2 linked regions of the Saccharomyces cerevisiae S288C genome follow. The gene in region 1 interacts genetically with each later gene. Each region holds a gene or a part of one and is shown in the gene's direction. Other genes may lie near its edges. The genes, in order: ECM5 and SNT2.

Evidence for each region.
Region 2: of ECM5 (region 1) and SNT2, a mutation in one rescues a mutant of the other (synthetic rescue), as found in Saccharomyces cerevisiae (one study listed by BioGRID).

The regions. Positions count from the first base shown.
Region 1 is NC_001145.3:609,946-616,653, forward strand, and holds ECM5 (Ecm5p), read left to right. Parts: upstream 1-1,794; coding exon 1,795-6,030; downstream 6,031-6,708. Other genes in the region: DDR48 (DNA damage-responsive protein 48), read left to right, coding at 1-36; PAI3 (Pai3p), read right to left, coding at 214-420; SIP18 (Sip18p), read left to right, coding at 1,071-1,310; YMR175W-A (uncharacterized protein), read left to right, coding at 1,369-1,563; MMT1 (Mmt1p), read left to right, coding at 6,621-6,708. UniProt on the Saccharomyces cerevisiae protein: May be involved in cell wall organization and biogenesis.
Region 2 is NC_001139.9:260,939-267,588, reverse strand, and holds SNT2 (DNA-binding E3 ubiquitin-protein ligase SNT2), read left to right. Parts: upstream 1-1,729; coding exon 1,730-5,941; downstream 5,942-6,650. Other genes in the region: CEG1 (mRNA guanylyltransferase), read right to left, coding at 65-1,444; ITC1 (Itc1p), read right to left, coding at 6,088-6,650. UniProt on the Saccharomyces cerevisiae protein: Transcriptional regulator that, together with ECM5, recruits histone deacetylase RPD3 to a small number of promoters of stress-response genes in response to oxidative stress.

The DNA.
Region 1 (6,708 bases):
GGTCGTAATCAATACGGTGGTGACGACGATTACTAAGTTTTTGGATGTCTTCGATAAAAAAAATATATTATTGTGTTTAGACTTAAGTATGAAAATTTTATGTATGAGCTGTGGCTATGTATCCGCTGGCAAATAGGTCTGCTTTTTCTACACTTTCCACCCTCAACCTAACAGAGCCCGCTGGCACAAATAATCGATAGTAGGACAACAGAGCTACTCCTTCTTATGCCCCGCCCCTTTGAGCTTGTTGTATTGCTCTTGATAGTTGTGTTTTTCACTTTCATCAGCATCGGTAGTCTTGCCGTCCTTGTCTTGACTAGCCATTTTCTTAAAAGCGTCACTCACTACCTTTGCATCGCCCTGCAATTTTTCCTTTGAGCTCTGAAATATTTCGCTCACTTTTTGTTGGTCTGTATTCATTCTGGATGTCTTGGTTGTAGAAATTTCTTTTATTGGTTCATTAAAGTCAAGGTAAATGGCGAGAACTAGAATAGAGTTTTATTCTTTTTACCGTTATATAGATAATTCTAGCCGGGGGCGGTCGCCCCTGAGATTCCCGACATCAGTAAGACATAGTACTGTACGATTACTGTACGATTAATCTATCCACTTCAGATGTTCAACAATTCCTTTTGGCATTACGTATTAATACTTCATAGGATCGGCACCCTCCCTTAAGCCTCCCCTAAATGCTTTCGGTACCCCTTTAAGACAACTATCTCTTAACCTTCTGTATTTACTTGCATGTTACGTTGAGTCTCATTGGAGGTTTGCATCATATGTTTAGGTTTTTTTGGAAACGTGGACGGCTCATAGTGATTGGTAAATGGGAGTTACGAATAAACGTATCTTAAAGGGAGCGGTATGTAAAATGGATAGATGATCATGAATACAGTACGAGGTGTAAAGAATGATGGGACTGAGAGGGCAATTATCATCCCTCAGAATCAACATCACAAACATATATAAAGCTCCCAATTCTGCCCCAAAGTTTTGTCCCTAGGCATTTTTAATCTTTGTATCTGTGCTCTTTACTTTAGTAGAAAGGTATATAAAAAAGTATAGTCAAGATGTCTAACATGATGAATAAGTTCGCTGAAAAATTACAAGGTAACGATGATTCCCATCAGAAGGGAAAGAACGCCAAATCCTCCAACAAGGAAAGGGATGATATGAACATGGACATGGGTATGGGTCATGATCAGTCCGAAGGGGGAATGAAGATGGGCCATGATCAATCTGGAACAAAGATGAACGCTGGCAGAGGAATTGCGAACGATTGGAAGACTTACGAAAACATGAAAAAATAATGTTACGTTTTTTTGGGCGCAATTAACCAAGTCCTTTTATTTTTTTAATGGTTTATTTATGAATTGTTTATGTTTATGTTCTTTATACTCAAAATCAATAAGTGCTTATTTTAGCGAATTTTCTTCTACGAATATATATAAGTCATATCTAAGACTTCCATCCGTGCTTTATTACGTTTGTATGATGCATACAATGATGCCAAATCAGCTTGATGCTGTTGGTATTCAGTCGTCCGAAAGCCTGTTGATGTGACACTCAAATCTTCGGCATGTGTGAACGGTGGCCGAGCATAGTTCGTGAACATCATCACTTAAAATAAGAACTACACTTTACATCAGCGTGGAAGATAAAGGTTGTTTTAAGCTCAAGGGCGCTGGAGGTGTAGCGCTTCGGAGGAAAATAATATTGAATAACTTCGCTTTTTGTTCCAAATTCTAGATTATCGTGTATGTTCTTGTTCGTACGTCCATCTCCATAGTTATAATGAGTGGGCATGATTCTGTTACAAAAATATCTCATATCCTGAATGAACCGGTTAACGAAAAGGTAATGGTACAAAACGGGTTCCATGAAAGCTCTAAAATTGCAGACATCGAATTAGAGATACAGGAGCGACCTTCGATTAAACAATGGGAATCGCCGCGGAGTGCTGTAATTCCTACTTCAAATCATAATTTTAGCCCATTTCTCTATACGCAATTTAAATCTCGTGGTGCAGCACCGTTTGCACCTGAAACAATAAAATCTGTAGATTTAGTTGAGCTACCGGAGGGTGTACCCGCAAGAGTGTTTCATGAAAAGACGGGTTTATTTTATCAAATATCTCCACACTCTATTCCAACATTTATTTTAGCCAAAAAAGAACTCCCGGACCCCATAAAATTTTATGAGTTAGTGGAAGACTTAGGGTCAGTTTATGGATGTGTTAAGTTGAAAATTATACCAGATGCTGACAAATTTACTCAACTAAATGTTGATGTAGATCGCCTCTGGTTTAAAGCAAGAAAACAATTTTTCAATTCGAATGAATTTCAAAGAACCAAGATAGTTGATTTTTATGCGAAGTTGTATAATTTTCACAATAAAATCAAAAAGAGTACTCTCACAAGGATCCCAAGTATCGATAAACGCACCTTGGATTTATATAGACTGAGGAGTTGTGTGAAGTTGAGGGGAGGCTTCAATGCTGTTTGCGAAAAAAAATTATGGGCGCAAATTGGAAGAGAATTAGGTTACTCGGGCAGGATTATGAGTTCGTTATCAACTTCTTTAAGATCTGCCTATGCAAAAATTTTATTAGACTTTGACATATATGAAGAAGAAGAGCAAGCTGCTCGTAATAACGAAAAAAATGAAGACATGGTGGAATCTGAAATATTTCGTCACTCAAATAGCAGAAGTAGGGACGAAGAGGAGCCACTTCATAAAAAAGCTAAAATACACCGCGATGTCTTTAGAGCCGGATCGATTAATCATGAATTTAAAAGAATGCGGGACATAAAGCACATAAAAGGGTTTCCGACTTATTTTAACTCGTTAACTGAGTTTAAACTAGGCTATACACAGTCAACAGAGACCACATTACCGGGCTATGATTTTACTTTTTGGGAGAATGGTATGGAAATATACGATAAAAGCAAATACGAAACCAAAACCTCTCCAGTATACAATTTGAGACAGTATTACGAAAAAAGTCTGGCTGTTTTCACTGCTATTGTAGCGAAATTTGGGAGTAGCTATCCTGATTTGTTTGCGAAACACACAACATTACCTCAAAAGGAATTCGAGAGGTTATACTTTCATTTGCTATCGGAGCACTTTATAGATTTCGAAATTGACACCGGTCTTGGACTACCCTGTTCCATGAGATCACCAGGAAACAACTCGTCCAATGAAAAGTTTGCCATTAAGAATATTCTAGACCAGTGGAATTTAGACAACATTCCTCTCAATGAACTATCGCTTTTACAACACCTTGATCTGGATATGGCCAATTTTACGAGAACCACTTATGATATTGGAATGTTGTTTTCTTGTCAAGGTTGGTCTGTTTCGGATCATTTTTTACCTTCAATTGATTTCAATCATTTAGGTTCTACCAAGTTGGTGTACAGTATTGCGCCGAAAGATATGGAAAAATTCGAAGCTTTAATTGCTCGAGGAAAAAGTGAATGGGATACTATCCAATCAAGGCCGCGCTACTCCACCTCCGATGACGAATTAAAGAGCTTTATAGAAACAGATTTCTACAAGTCATTTTTGGATGCAGAACAATCTGCTGACTATTCAAACACTGGAGATAATTCAAAAAATTCATTTCCAGAAGATAAGATAGCAGGAAACACTCTACATGATGGTTCACAAAGCGACTTCATATTTGAGCCTAATTTCATCTTAGCCAATGGCATAAAACTTTATAAGACGACACAGGAGCAGGGCTCATACATTTTTAAGTTTCCGAAAGCCTTCACATGTTCTATTGGATCAGGTTTCTATCTATCACAGAATGCAAAATTTGCGCCAAGCTCCTGGTTGAGATTCAGTTCCGAGGCAGCAAAATGGACATCTAAGATGGGGTTTCTTCCCGGTTTAGATGTAAATCAATTACTTATCAATGCCCTACTAAACTCCAATAACCCAGTTTTAAGGAAAAAATGCCGTGATTTAATAAGTAACTACGTCGTTGAGGAAGCGGAAAACAGCAAAAAATTAGGGGAGTTGATTGGCACTGTAGATGTCGTTTATAATAAATTGAATTATATTTCAGATATTAGTTTAGAGTCAACTGGTCTTTCAAAAATCGTTGTTACACACGGTGCATTGCAACGTAATTTATCTCTGAAGGAATTCGTGGTATTGCTAGAAAAACCAGAAAACGGTGCTCATAGTATATGTGGCATCCCAATACGTGATCAATCTGGTAATCTCAATGTTTGTTTGCACTCATACTTTGATAGCGCAAGCCTAGGAATTGCTCTCGATGGCTTGGACAAGCCTCCGACTTCTTATCTGCTTGTTCACAATGAAGATTTTGAAAAAAAGTGGGACGTGTTAATGACTTCTACTTTTAGAAATAGAACTGTGCCATTAAATATAATACAGTATTTGATCTCTCATACTGATAGTAATACTGAGTTTAATCGAATGTTACGCTCCAATTTTGATGATTCATTACTACTTATTGAGAAATGTAAAAAGTTTATTAAGACCTTCGTGGATGTTTCCTGTTCTGTTAAAGATGTAGATTTCGGAAACGGTTTCAATTTACGTCATCTACCGCTTAAGTTTTCTGACAACATGGCTGATAATTTGGAGAGCTTGTATGAAAGTGTGCGGAAGTGCTCAATTGAATTTTCAGAAAAGCCGACAATTATCAGACTGTATCACGTATCTCGGCAGTTTCCTATCGATAATAGAGATATTATTGATGGCAATAATCTAGATTTGCTTAAGGAATTATATCAGAAATCGTTAACCATCCCGTTGAAGGTTTCTTATTGGACTAAGTTGACCAGAAAAATATGTAGGCTTGAATGGTTATCCGTTTATGAACATATATTCATTGAGCGATGTGATATTAAGAATGAAGACCCTGCGAAATATTCACTTCCACTGTTATATTCTTACTTCGAATTTGGTTTGAAATATTGTGATTCGGAAGATATAGATAAGTTAGGGGAAGTGAGAAAGCTGATTTTAAAATATCAGGACATGATGCAGAAAGTTCGAGTTTTTCTAAAAAAGGATCCACCCTCAAAAATATCGCTAAGTGATTTAGAAGACGTTTTATTAGATATAGAAGAATATCGGTTACCCATACAAAGTAGTTTTTTCAGTGAGCTTGATTATGTTATTAGAGAAATTGAAAATGCAAAAAAAATGAACGATGTGAATATTCTTTATAACACTGATAATATTGATAAAATAGACGAACTCATCAGGAAAAATGATCCTAAATTTGTGAAGTTTGCGAACCAGTTTAATGGTTCGAGATTAGATAAGAGACCGCTGGCCAGTGATAATTCAGGATCAGTGAAAGCCAAACAGGAGTTAAAAGTTTTCAAATTATGGAACCAGCACTTGGATCAAATAATGCAAAAAAATAAATTTATTGAGATACTGCCGTCGATTTTTAGATGTTTAGATTTGAAGTCAGACAAATACATTCCTTTGGAAAGTTGTTCTAAGCGCCAAACGAAATATTGCTTTTGTAGAAGGGTTGAAGAAGGTACTGCAATGGTCGAATGTGAAATATGCAAGGAGTGGTATCATGTGGATTGTATTAGCAACGGTGAGTTGGTTCCACCTGATGATCCAAACGTTTTATTTGTTTGCTCGATATGTACACCACCCTGTATGGCCGTTGACAATATCGAAGGTGTGACTTTTGAGCTTGACGACTTGAAGAGGATCTTAGTAGAATCTTTGAAGCTAAGTTTAATTCCAGATCCCCCTATCTTGAAGAATCTCTTTGACGTTTTTGCGTTTGCTTTGAACTTCAAAAATGAAATGGAAAAAGAACTATTTACTAACGGTTATGTAAATCAATTGTCCTCTACGCACAAGATCAAGTATTACTTGAGAAAGTTAAAAGGGTCACAATGCGGCTTTACTAATCTGACGGATCCCTTAAGGAAACATTGTCAGGTGAAAGATGCAGAAGCAATTAAATGGCTCACAGATAATGGAAGAATCATAATCACAGGAATTCCAAATTGAAACGTAATACTATCTTATTGATTAAAATCACTATTTACTTATCTAAAATGTACCTGCGAAGTCTGCATGACATATTCTCTCTTCTTTTATTGCGCATACCTCGTTTACTCATACTCAGATGTTCTACGACGTTTTCTATGGTTGGCAGTAGTTACCTATTGTTGACACTCCAGTATTGGGTGTTTCCCATCCAGCATAATCCCGGTAAAAAAAGACACCCCAGAATCTAGGAGAGCTCCTTTCGAAGGTGGAAAAGCGCGTTTTGCTGTCAATATTGATGTTTATTAGTAAGTGTTTACCGTTTCTTGATAGCTTTCCTTACGTAACAATTGTTCTTCTGCTTTCCTTCGTAGGAGGAACGCGCCAAGGCAATTTTTCTCGAGAGGTATGAAAAAAATAAAAAAAGCTCATTTCCATGACAACTTCAAGTAATTGACCATCTATAGGAACCCTAAGACTTTTGGCAACTTCGACTTAGAGCTCTTTTTTGTGGTTTTGTTCATTTACGCTAAATAACTGAGAGTTTAAATTTATTGATTTATATATTATTGCATCACACAAACATCGCTTTCTTTTTCGCATTTTTGACAATGTTAAGAATCTGCGTAAAAAGGCCCTGTATAAAGATCGTTCTTTCACAAGTACGTCCAGCATTACTAGTAAGGAAGGAGAATCTCC
Region 2 (6,650 bases), on another chromosome or scaffold:
TTTTCTATCTTATTCATACACAAAATTCTTACACCGATATATGTCGATACGAACACTTCTTAGCCTAATCCGACCAATCATCCTCGTCTACATATTTTGGCTCCTTATCATTACTTGGGGGCTGTGAATGGACTGGCTTAGAGGTAGATAATGTCGCATTTTGACTTTGAGACGGTAGTGGTCTCCCACTACCACCAGCCATATTTGCTCTTCTCTCGTCCCAGCACCTTTTAATATCACCAACAATTTCCTCGAGGTCCTCCAATGAAACTGAATCGTTGATACTCTCCAAAACTTTCTGGACCACCGATGTATGATTACCATTTAACTTATCATCCCTGAATCTTAACATTTCCCACGCCCCAGTCTCTTGGTTTTTTGCGCACTCTACTATTCTACCATTTAATGGCTGTTCTAGGTTCTTCAAATTTTGCCATTCCTCATCTGAAACGCTCAACTCTGCAAATTTTCTGTATGTTCTTTCTAATATTTCAAATTCCTTCCTATCGAAAGGCTGGTCGAAATGTTTTAAACGTGAATTGACATCAGCTCCGCCTTGCCAGACATATAAGCTGAAAACTGGCTTAACGTCATAATTGTAATACCACCTGTTCCGATCATCTTTAGGCAAAGAAGGATCCTCCACCATTGGGATATCTAAAATCAATTTGAAGTCCACGGTGTTTTCTTGTTCTGGCTTCCATTTTAATAACAATGAATCTTTTCCGCCGGCAGTGTAAGGTGCCTTCACAGGAGTAAATATCAGACCATCAGAAAGATGTGGTAGTTTATCTAAACTTTTAGCAACTTTTACTAATTGGTAACTGAAATCCATATGTTTCATGGAAATTTTGAACGGAAAAGTAGTACAACGATTAGGGTACGCTGCTCTTAAATCGAAGTATGGTTTAAAAAATTCTTTTCCAAGGTGGGCTAGTCTAGAACTTGTTGGTGATTGTGTGAGACATCTACCATTGATAGCAAGACAATCGAACATTAAATAACGCAACTCTTGTAATTTTGTCATTGGGTTAGTTTGTATGACAAGTTCACCATCTAATAAGGTGCCATCTTGAAGAGTCTCTAGCAGCTCTTCTTTCTTCTTTTGGGGTAATCTGGGAAACCTAAATCCATTAACCAGATAATAGTTATTTTCCCTATCAATCATAAAGCATCCTTGCTCACCCGTCACAGGATTTATCACTATAAACATCAACACCCGCAGACCATCTGTTTTCTCACAAACGTAGTAATCATGCGCAAGCAGCTTCTCTTCCACATCAGAATGCTGAAAGGACACAGGCTGGGAACCAGGGAATGTTTTCGTAGGTTTTGGGGAATTCAATAATTTACAGACCATCATCTTCAAGTCTTGCGTGACATTCCCAGGTTGAATGAGCCCAGGAATTTCCGGTGCCACTCTACTTTCCATTGCTAAAACCATATTTGTTAAATTAGCGGTCGATTCGTATTTGCTTATTCCGTTAGTTAGCTTTAGTTTAGATATAACAGATCGTATTCCACCATTTCTTTCGTTATTTTCTGCAATGAACTATTTATTATACTAGGTTACGCTTCGGAGCGACTGACCCGAACATCATGGAGAACTATATATATTTTATGATATTGCTTTCAAAAGGACTAAAAATAAAATGCCATCGAACTATCTGGTGGCAAAATTGGCCTATCGGGACATATTGAGATCATCTGCCTTTCAGCTGGTCACGCTATGCCTAAAGAAGAAGATTTCCAATTACCTAGAAGAAGAGAGGCTGCTAAAAACGTGAATTATAATGAAATGGAAATAGATACTAAATTAGTTCAACAAATACAAATAGCGGAAAAAAGTGGTGCTAAGACCAAGGGTAGCAATAGCCAAACTCCCAGGAATTGTAAAAGGACAAGCAATCCAGCTAGTAGAAACGAGAAATTCAAGTACCAAAAATTCCTTCATGATAAGAATACTTGCTGGAACTTTATCCCTACATTACCCCCTTCGTTCAGAAAGAATAGCAGATTCTCTAACATACTTGATCTAGATGATGCCATGATTGACTTGAAAAAGATGTCTCTTTTCAATACAGAATCTGTCCTTTTATCTGCGAACGACACTATTTATATGATATCAGAGCCTGCTGGCGAGCCTTATTATGTTGGCAGAGTTGTAAATTTTGTTAGTAAACCAGAATTTTCTAACACTATTCATGAAGCTATAAAGACAACATCGGTCTTCCCTGCTAAATTTTTTCAAGTTAGAATGAATTGGTTTTATCGTCCTAGGGATATTCAAGAGCACGTAAATACTTTTAACCCAAGGTTGGTGTATGCATCATTACACCAGGACATATGTCCTATTTCATCATACAGGGGAAAATGTAGTATATTTCATAAAGACGAAGTTTTTGATGTTCTTCCTAATGAGAAGGAATGCATTATACGACCCAATATCTTTTACTTTGATGAACTTTTTGACAGATATACTTTGAAATATTACAAAGTTTACAGCACGGATAAAATATTAAATAAATGGAACAGTAAGTCGCCATTTCTTTATGTTTTGAATAGGAGATTTCGTTATATCTATACAGAACCGAAGTATCCATTGGAGAACGTTTTGAAGAAATACGTTTTCCATGAACTAGAGGTAAACGAATTAAGTCCTGCAGACTACCAATGGGATAAAAGATGTCAGTTCTGTAAAGAATGGTGTATCCAAAAGGAGAGCCTTTCATGTGATGAATGCGGCGTTTGTGCACATCTATACTGTATGGATCCGCCACTTGACAGGAAGCCGAACAAAGACGTCGTTTGGACCTGCTTCAGTTGCTTACAGAAACAACAAGGTACTAAGGACTCGCATGTTAGGTTTCTAGAAGAACAAGCACTGGAACTGGATTTTATTCGCTCTGTAAGACAAAAAATTGAAGAAATTTCTAGCAAAGCTATCAAAGAGAATGTTGGTTATAATACCGAAAATTGCTGGTTTCAATACTTAGGAATATATTCCATTTCTCATATTGGTGACGCATTAAATGATTCTATGTTTTTTCCATATCCTTTCAAACCCTCTAGGGTAGGAGTGAAGTATCAATGGAACGGATGTAATCATAATGTGCCCTGGAGGCGGAACTCGTATATAAGTGCAAATTCAGAAGAAGAGCGAGGCTCAACGAAAACTTCGGAACTAGCATGGGTACTTGATGCATCAAAAATTACTACTCGAAAATTGAGTGAATATATTGAACAATGCAAAAGCGAAATATGCCCTATTCTCAATGTGAGAGGTGAGACTTGTAATTTCATTGATGTAGTCCTAAAGAATTTATTATTTACAAATTATGATACAGCAGAGGCATTTAAAAAATGTAAAAGGGAGCTTTCCAGAAAATTTTTGAAAGAGCCAAGTTTTACCGCCGTGGAGATCCGAAAGTTTGAGGAAGCTGTCGAGAAATTTGGGAGTGAATTACGCCCAGTGTGTGAGTATGTGGGCACTCAACCTATGTCGATGATTGTTAGATTTTATTACAATTGGAAAAAGACTGAAAGAGGCCTTACCGTGAGAGGGAAATTGAGTAAGTTATCAAAGAATAAAAGAAAAAAAGAAATCGCTAATCATGAAAATGACGTAGAGACAAAGTATATAGATGATTCTTCTTTTGATACTGAGAAACTCTCTTTAGCAGAATCCTCCTTCCAATGCATGTTTTGTAAAACAGATTACTCCCCGATGTGGTATAGAGTTACTGGAGGTTCAGATGATGAAAAGATCAAGATAAGAATGCAGACAGGAGTCAACGAAAAAACAGAAATTTCAGAGAAATCGCCTGCCCATAGCAAAAAGAATGAAAAACTTGGCGCTCTTTGCATTCGTTGTGCTCGTATGTGGCGAAGATACGCAATTAAGTGGGTACCACCGCTTGAAACATTGAGAAAAATAACGGGAACCTGTCAGAATAGTTTTTATTCAGCGATAGAAGGGATTATAGAGGAGAATAACACAAACAAGTTTACGTTATCTCCCTTTCAAGCTCATAATAAACTACTAGAATGGGAACTTGTTCAGGATTCAGAGCTAATTATCAGGCAAAGAATGAAAGTTTACAAGAACCCAAATTCATTTGTGAAAATGAAGCGGTATTCCATGACATTCCACACGCAACTCTACAAAATGGCTGTGAGATCATATCGAAAGAATGAGTTTCACCCGGAGACGATGCAACGAGATCTTGAGCTATTTATAGAGGACAACAAAGAGGTAAGAAAAGCCATCCCTGAACAAAAGCCAGAAAGAGCGAAAAACACAAAGGACGAATTTCCCGTGAACATAATTCGACAATCACCTGGTACTATCAAAACAAGTGATACAAGCCGAAATCGCAAGTGCAACGATGTATTTATCGAGAAGGCTAGTAATAACAATATTCCTAAAATCACTAATGCTTCGAATGATTTGATAGAAATTTCAATTAAAACAGGCGGCAGTTCTTCTGGTTCAGTGTCTGTAGATAAAGGTTTTAAATTTGTCAAATTTGATAACAAAACATTTCAGCGATTACGGAATAGCTTAAAGTTAGTGAATAATAAGCTGCCAAAATATAATGAACCTTCAACGAAGAAGATCAAAATGATCAATGACATAGCGTTAAGTAATCCGTTAAACGAACCAAACGGGGCATCGTACAATTATACAGTTATTTCACATTCTAAGGAAACTTCTGTCGCCCTTGAAAAATACCATGATGGTAATAAACCGAGCAAAATGTTAGAGAAAGACATGATTTTGAAACACACTAAGAATAAACCAAAAAATCCTGATACAGCATGGGCAAATAATAGCGCAAGGACTTTTTGTAGTGTCTGCAAAGAAAAATTTAACGACAATGACAACTATGAGGTAGTATGTGGTAATTGTGGACTTACAGTACACTACTTCTGTTATGCTATTAAACTGCCGAAAGATATGAAGAAAAACACTAACCTTAAGACATTTAAATGGTTATGTGACCCTTGTTCAAATGACCTCAATCCTATAATATCAACGACCTACCAATGTAGTATGTGTCCTACGAAGGACTATGACTATGATAGATATAGGAGCCAATCATTTAAAATATGTCCAGACGCATTGAAATGCACGAGCTTAGGGACATGGGTGCATTTGGTTTGCTCACTTTTCAATGAAGATATCAAATATGGAAACGGACAATCAATGCAACCTGCCCTTAATACCACTGCTGTGCTTATTAAACATAGTAGATTTACATGTGGTGTGTGCAGGATAAATGGAGGTGGGTTAGTGAAGTGTAACAAATGCCAATATAGGTATCATATTACATGTGCACAGAACAGCTCCAATTTTAAGCTTATGTTTGAAAAGAAAAATATGTCTGTAGACACCACTCTACCGTGCATAAAGGATGTCAAGCTTAACGATACATACACTTTGAGACCTATACTAATATGCGATAGACACGATATCAGCTTAGAAGGAAACGAACTTTATCCATTATCGTACAAGCCTCAACATACTCTGTCATACATAGAACAATACTGCAGATATTATAAGTGCGAATCTGACCATAGTCTAGTGGAGTTGAGATATTTTGAACAGCTTAGACTGCGACACGGCGAAATGCCAGGAAACTCACACGACTCTGCTATTAAACCCAAAATTTACGTACTTCCTTTCGAAAGGACTTGCCCACATTGTGGTACAAACAAAAGTTTATACTGGTATGAAGATATTATTTGCCATTCTTGCAATTTGAGATCAGGTGCCCAAGAACTCGATTTTGATAGCGCATCTGCTAATATCTCTAACGATAACGGTTTACCAGTCGAAATTACCCAGCAATTGATGGAAGGAATTGAGCCAGCTATGTTTGATATCGATATTTCAGAAGCTGGTACCGACAAAAATACGCATCCATCAAGCCAGTAAGTGATAGTTACCTTAGATAGAAAGTATGGTCCAATCTTGCGCGGCTTTGTTGTGTTATTTTTTTCCATTATGCTTACAATGAATAATCTTATCCTATTTATGAATACTACAATTTACCATCAGTTACAAAGGAAGTTTTTTATATATTAATTTGGGGCAGGTGTTACTGTTCTTGAGGTTTGGCCCACTATATCTTTTAATTTATCGTCTACTGTTTCAATGACACCACTCCTTTTATTACCAGATGCATTTTTGCGAAGTGAGGAACCCCATATCGAATTTGCTAAAACGTTTTTCCAAGCTATCACATCTTCCATAGCTTTAAAATGTCTATAATTGACTAAGTCAGTCAATATTTCAATCTGCTTATTCACCTTATTACCACGGGAGATTTTGGTTCTTTTCCTTTCTGAACGGGCTAAAATCCTCGCGCCTGGCCTCTGCGAATTTATTATGGATTTTTTCTGTTCCAAGAGTTCATCTCTCTGATCTTCTAATTCTTGTATTCTATTAAGAACATTGCGTGTTTTCGAGCTATCATCTAGCTTCATGAGTTCGTCTGCAATCACCTCCAACTTTTCGTCTATCACAGCTTCTCTCTTCTCTTCGGCATCAACCTGTACATCAACCTCACTTTTAACACCGCTATTTTTATCATCAACATCCATACTATCAACGTTCAATTCGTTTTCGGTAAATTCATTATTTT